Cricetulus griseus: one gene and its partner. The protein of the gene in region 1 interacts with the protein of each later gene in a biochemical or structural test. Links are inferred from orthologs where the notes say so. Each region holds a gene or a part of one and is shown on either strand. Other genes may lie near its edges.

What was found. The genes of interacting proteins can lie anywhere in the genome.
Region 2: the proteins of Ets2 (region 1) and Zmynd11 form a complex in vitro, tested with the Homo sapiens proteins (2 studies listed by BioGRID). The link is inferred for Cricetulus griseus from reciprocal best matches to the Homo sapiens genes ETS2 and ZMYND11.

The regions. Positions count from the first base shown.
Region 1 is NC_048597.1:2,209,680-2,213,199, forward strand, and holds part of Ets2 (protein C-ets-2), read right to left. Parts: intron 2,246-3,520; coding exon 2,127-2,245; intron 1,213-2,126; coding exon 997-1,212; 3' UTR 1-996. UniProt on the Homo sapiens protein: Transcription factor activating transcription. Binds specifically the DNA GGAA/T core motif (Ets-binding site or EBS) in gene promoters and stimulates transcription.
Region 2 is NC_048596.1:233,952,662-233,956,181, forward strand, and holds part of Zmynd11 (zinc finger MYND domain-containing protein 11), read right to left. Parts: intron 3,076-3,520; coding exon 2,998-3,075; intron 2,261-2,997; coding exon 2,142-2,260; intron 1-2,141. UniProt on the Homo sapiens protein: Chromatin reader that specifically recognizes and binds histone H3.3 trimethylated at 'Lys-36' (H3.3K36me3) and regulates RNA polymerase II elongation. Does not bind other histone H3 subtypes (H3.1 or H3.2).

The DNA.
Region 1 (3,520 bases):
AAAACACAGTTACGCCAAAAAATAAAATACATTTGTGTAGAAACCGACTTAAGGCATGCAGAGAAGTGGAAAACATGTGCCATTTGTCAAGAAAAATACTGCTTTATAGCTTTTACTTTACAGTCCAGGAGGAAGTGGAGAGGCCCGAGGCACCCTCAAATAATAACATTAAATTTCTTATATAAAAAAAAAAAACAAACCTCAATATACAAAGTCCTGGCCAGATAATGAGCAAGTCAGAACTAAAATAACAACAACAACAAAAACAAAAGTAAAAACCAGGGGTCATCCCTCAGACCCCATTCCTGTTGGAAAATCAAATGAAAACAGTATATTACGATTTCTCTCAGTTAGCTCCTGAGAGATTAAATCTGTGTAAAATGACATTCCTAGGTGCTAGTGAAAAAAAAAAAGAAAAGAAAATCTACCAGGTATCTGCATTCTTGATTCAAACACAGTTATAATTACTTTTAAATACAATATACAATTTCTGTTAAATAGAACGGTTGGCGGATTTTGACGTTATAAGATACAATAATATGTACAAAATGACTTCCGAAATGGAGCAGTCGCTGCTCTCCACCTGCCTAGCTGGCTCTCAAGAGGTGGCTTTTGCATTTGCTACTCCTGGTGGCAAAAGGCCAAAGGAAAAACAATGTTTTTCAGGGTTTGTGCATCCACCACACGCTAGCTCCCTGGCGCATCTCAAATAGCCTCAATGACTGTGATCAGCACACAGCCTGCTCGGTGCTGGGGTGGCTTCCCAGAGCCCCTTCCCTTCCAGGTCTTGTGTCAGGACAGAGAGGCCATGCCACCTTCCACCACTGGGGAACTGGCCTTGTGGAAGAGGCATGGAATGAAAGGAGGCCATTGCTGCTTGGCAGCTCCCAGAGGGGTTCCATCCTGCCCTCCCAAGGGTCTTTGGAGCAGTGGGTCAGGACAGGCTTCCCACTCAGTCCCCGGGCCCGGGGCCAGCTCAAGGTCGTCCCAAGGACCTCAGTCTTCTGTGTCAGGCTGGACGCCCAGGATGGCATGCAGTTCCTCAGGAGTGAACCCTAGCAAGTTCTGCAGGTCACACACAAATCGGTACACGTAGCGCTTGCCTGACGTCTTGTGGATGATGTTTTTGTCATAGTAGTATCGTAGACCCCGGCTCAGCTTCTCGTAGTTCATCTTTGGTTTATTTTTCCTCTTTCCCCACCGGCGGGCCACCTTTGGGAAGACATAGAAAGGTCAGAGTCACCTGTGTCAATCTTGATTGCCTCCCCTGACCCTGGATGCTCACCCTATAGGACCCAAGTCATGGGGACATGTCTGGGTCACTTTAAATGTGTGGAGATGCTTCTCTGTACAAGGGCCAGGGATGTCCCCATCTCCCCCTGTCCTCCAGCTCCTGGGGCCAACCATTTGGAACCAGGGGTGTCCCAGACAGGGTCATCTGTTGTCAGCCATCCTCTATAATGCTTATTTCAACACTGCCCTACACCCCCCCCCCCAACCCCTTTTAAAAAGCTAGCGTCTCATAACCCTAGGTTGGTCATTACCCTCCGCCAACCTCTGCTTCCCTGCTGATTACAGACAGGAGGGTGCCATGACACCTGACTGGTGGTGCTGGGGCTAGAAGCTACGGCTGTGAGCGAGCTAGGCAGCCACTCTGCCAACTGAGATACGTTCCAAGCCATGTGACAGCTGGAAAGACTGCCCTGGCTCATGCATGAGACATGCTTATTCCCCCAGACACAGAGAGGGTGACAGATTACGTTATGTATATTGCTGGCATCATGCCTTACCAAAGCCATCTCCAGCAGAGGGACCCAGGGCCAACCCTGAAGGCTCCTTGGCTGCTATGTGCCTTGTCCAACTTGGGACAAAGGTGAATTCCCGCTAGAACTTGCCGAGGGTAACTAGAGAACCTGTGACGGACAATGTCCATGGAGGGAGGGCACTGCCCAAAGGACACTGGGCCCATTCATGAACAAGCCCTCGAGTGGCGTCCTTCGGCTCAGCTAGCCCCAGAGCCGGAGCTCCTGGTTGGGGAAGGGCTCTTGCTGGTTCTGTTGACTTTCCCTGTGTCCGGGGCCAGCTTTAGAACCCAAACTGGGGTTGAGGGTGCAAATGGTCCGTACCTCGTCAGGGTCAGCAAGCTTGAACTCCCATCCATCCCCTGTCCAGCTGATAAAAGATTGACAGGATTTGTCAGAGAGCAGCTCCAGAAGGAACTGCCACAGTTGGATGGGTCCGCTTCCTGGGGATAAAGGGAGGCAGGTTAGAGAGGGTTCTTCAAGGTCAGCTGGAACCTGACCCTCCCAGGGATCAGGCTGTCTTGAAAACATGGACCCCACCAGGGACTGTATGGACGAACAGGTGGCGCCTCAGGGAAGCACTTTAACGGACAGAAGCCACAGTAACCTCCTCTCTACCCAGTACTCCTCCAAGAGGATGGCTGAGCCAAGGCTCTTCCTTGGCTGCTGTCTTTGTCTTCTGGGAGGAGGATACAGGGTCACCAGCCCTCATCAGTACCAATCCTGCCTTTTTAATGCTTTCCAGCACCTTAAAAATTTTATTTCTAGAAAGACCCAGTGGGGCTGGGGTGGGTACTTAAGGGTCATTTCATCACAGGCATTCATCGCTGTTTGATGTGAGACCTGGCTGCATGCCACACTCACGAGGTGACCTGTATCTACAGCCGTCTGTCTTTTTGCTCCACAGGCAGTCAGGACTACCATTGTGAGGAGGAGGAGGCTTGCTGCAGCCTCACCTTTCTTAAGGATGTACTCGGGAGAGTGACTTGTCTTGGGTCCCTATCACAGATTAGAGAAGGAAAGCTGAGGTCTGTCCCTAAGCCCAGCTGTCACCTTGTCTGCAAATGTGAAAAGGCCTTGGGGAGGGACAGAAAGACCTCAGATGGGGCCAGGCCGAGCTGACTCACTTCAATGGCCACTAGGGCTTGTCACCTCTGAACTGATATTCCTTAGTGCGTCTCCACACTACCCGAGGTAACACCACAGGCCACAGGCTGGGCTACCCAACAAACAGTACTACTATAACCATCCAGGTAGACACTCCTAATGCTGTCAGGTTTCTTTGGATTCCTAGGTATCAAAATGGCCTTAGGTTCATAGATTATATATATATATATAATCTTTTTCATTGTCAAAAATATGTAAATATATATATTTGTTTTTGACAATGAAAAAGAAAATCCACATCTTCATTTTAATCTTTTTTTTTTAAGCTTTTTTTCTTTTAAAATCCATAGTGGCTTCTTATGGCCAGCATGAGAAGAAGGTTTATTTAAAGGCATCTATAGTGGTGAAAATGAACATTCTTGGTATTTTTGCCCCAGTTTTGAAATTGTCTGGTTCTAAAAACAGCTTTAAGATTCATTCTCTGCCCAGAAGAGTTCTCTCCTCCTCTTAGATGGTTTTGGAGGAGGTCAAGAGAGGTAAATAGTGCTGGTATCCCATGAGCCAGCTCCCACCCTTCCCAGGCCAGTTTACATTCCTGGAGATCCAGAGTA
Region 2 (3,520 bases), on another chromosome or scaffold:
CAGGAGGCAAAGGTGATTTATTTAGAACATGGAATTCATATGCTCCTATTGCACAGGGGCAGTCAGCAAGTGTAAAAGTGCACTGCTTCAGTGAGGATCCTGTGACAGGTGTGCACAGTGGCCTGGTCACCTACCAGGACAGATGCTCCTTTCAACACAATTTAAAACATTTCCATGCATAGGTATCAGTTTAAATTAACATTGGGTACTCTGAGCTATAAAAAAAAAAAAAAAAAAAAGACAAGGAGTAAGGACATCCCAAAATTCAATGCTAGTATAATAAAGTAAAAATCTATGAACTTATTCTGTGACTTACTACAAATTATTCAACATCTTTCTTGCTGGCTCCTGACTGGGGTCATGCTATCTCCAGCAACTTATAGTAAAAAGGTCTGGCTGCCTTAGGGAAGCTGACTGGTCCAAAGCAACTGACCATCTTGCAGATCCTAGACAGACCCACTCCCACAGGTCCCATGTGCAGGCAATAACTGGCTTCTCCTGCAGGCTAAGTCAGCCTCACAGTCTGAAAAAGCGAGTCCAAAATTATTTGCTTATTTTTTTCTGCACCCTATGTGTAATACAATAAATATACCTATCAAAAACAAAACAAAAAGTCCTCAAAACCAGTGCCTCCTCATGAGCCAGTCTTTTGGTGCTTAATTCATAATTACAATTTCTCTTTATTTTCAATACATCAAATACTCTAATATGGTAGATTTTTACTGTGTCATCTAAGCAATCATTCATGACATACTCTATCCAGATCAATGATTCTACATTACATGATAGACTAGCAAGTCTATTGAGATGCCTATCTATCTGGAAGTTTAAAAAAATTCCCCTCCCCATTTTCCTGATATTTGCTTTATAACTCATCACTTTGCATACTGCCACCACCAGCTAGGTGTTATGCTATGTCTGTATCAAGCTTTCATGAGGAGTGAGGCCCAGCTTTCCCAAAGCTCAGAGAGCCTGGCTAGTGTATCTGGATGAGAGTCAGTGCAGAGACTTGGACACACACTGACAGACACTGACTTACCTCACTGGCATGTGTACAGTGCCCCCTTGTCAGAATCTGAAACTAACTAGATATGATACATGAAGCTAGTAATGCTAAAACTAACCTATTCATCAAAGGCTAAAATGTTCACTCTGTATTAAGATTGAATGTTGTGTTATTAGTTTGTGTTTCTTAACATAAATCTGGATAGGTGTGTCTATTTATGAATGAGAAAACAGACATTTAAAGTACTCACAGGTTATATAAGACAAACTATAATCCAGGAGGGGAAAATGCAATCCTTTGTCTTGAAGCTTCTCGTACATGACTGACCTCTACCCCAGACACTAAGATCTAAGGAGATATTCAAAGTACATGCATGGCTGACTGGCAGCACGATTCCCATCCCTTTAATATCTGTGTTAGAGGAAACTTTTCTGGCTTTATCACTGGACTCCTTACTTTGAGTCCAATGGGACTTCTCAAAAGTTGAATTCATTTTTCTAACCCAAACTAATGTTGACAACACTTAATGGCATTACTGTTAAAACCCTAATTTTTCATGATCAATGTTATTAGGGCCTCAACTAACCCTGAGAACAGTATTGTAAGTGTGTCATCCCACAGGTTGGTATCTAAGAAATGCATGAGGTAATTTTATAGTCAGTTTCTTTTTTTTCTTTTAGAATACATACATTTTATGTATTCCACATATGTAAGTTTTTAAGTTTTACAAATTCATGCCTGGGAGTGGAGACACTGCTTTGTAACTGTGTCTGTCCCTCTCCTCTATACTCACTGTGCTTGTCCACATTCTTAGACTGATGCTACAATCCCAAGCTGATTGTTTTTACCCGTTAATAGGGTCACAGAGAAGACTCAAATACCTGCACATCTTTACAGTGTGGAACGGACATGCCTGTGGGTTCACCCCCGCATCCAATGCCCTGCATGATGGGTTCAATCTCAGCACTAGTGTGCTCTGTACCTGAGGACCAAACATCCCACTAAAATGCCGTTTACAATAATACTGGAAAACCTGCATAAGTTACTTCCAGCTACAGGCATGTGATGTATTTGAAACAGCATTCAGCATACATACATCAGCGCAGATCTTACCACTGTGTGAGTTGGGGATTACCTCTGGTGGTGGTGGCCAAAGAAGCGAACATCAACTTGATTGTCTTCTTTCTGCATAACTTTGGCTGGCCAAAACCCAAAACCTTTCATTTTAGCCCAAACCAGCTCATGATTAGGTATCTGAAAATGAAATGTTCTTTCTTTTAATACTGAACTACTTAGAGAATCATGGGTTAAGTAAGACATAATCCATTTGGATAATGTTTCCTTTTAACTCTGAAACACATACATGTGTTTTGTTTTGTTTTCTCTTGTCATCAAGAAAAACAATTCATATACTTAAGAGAAAACAGAATTATGGACTATTTCCCAGATGAGGCAGGAACTGGAAAAGGTCACCTCTAAAGTCAAGGGCCCTGTGCATGATAGTAGTAAACAGAGTTCCCTGACTTTGCTTCTGTGCCCAGCATCACCTGAGTATTTGTTAGAAAGGGGAGAATTAGGCCCCACACAGAGTTTCTGATTATGAGGTCTCCTAAGTCCACCCAATGTCAATGTTACTGAGAATACTGCCCTCAAATACCCTGAGGCTTTTTGCCATTTCAGAGGAAATGATGGAGCTACAGATATAAGCAAAGTCACAGGTCTCCTCTTATAAATGAGAGGAAAAGCAAAGATTCACTCTCCTGTCTATCAAAGGACCCAGTACATGGTCTTACTAAGTACTTTGTTTGAAATTCAGAACTAAAAAACAGTTACTGTTATTTTCCCATGTTTCAGTTGTACACATTCATTAAGACCATGTGTACTATGATGTAAAGAACTAAATTTCACAGGTATTATTGTCCCTAAGTAAACAGGAAGTAACTATGACCCAAATGGTACTCTATAAATGAAAATGACAAAATTCCACATACGCAAGGATAGCAGAACCAGTTGTCGGGCCGTGCATTTGATAGATAGAAGCAGTTCTTGCAAAGCTGCAGCTCATCCAGCTGAAAAGCAAAGCAACGGTCTGAGCCAACCAATGCGGCTTCGTGGGACTGACAGGCAGCTCTCAGTCAGGCCCGCACTTAATCTAGTACACTTAAAATCTTGTAGGAGGACTGCCACTCACTGACCAGCATGTGGAAGACATGCTGGGGTGACAGTGCCCTTCCCTTGCTGTGCCACTGCCGTCCCTTGCTTGCACACTGTTCTCTTCATCACTGTAAAGACCACTTGTTTTTTTCTTTTTTTCCTTCCTGTCATCAATCTCTTTTCAGAAGACAGCTCTCCATACACTAGAATCTAGACCTATAGCACCATTTCATTCCTTCTGGCACACTGTAGACATTCAGCAAAATGGCTGTTCAACAACTAAAAGGGAAAAGTCAAATTTAAAATGAACTGAAGAAATCACACTTATTATATGAGAATTTTTACAAGAATAATACTTGC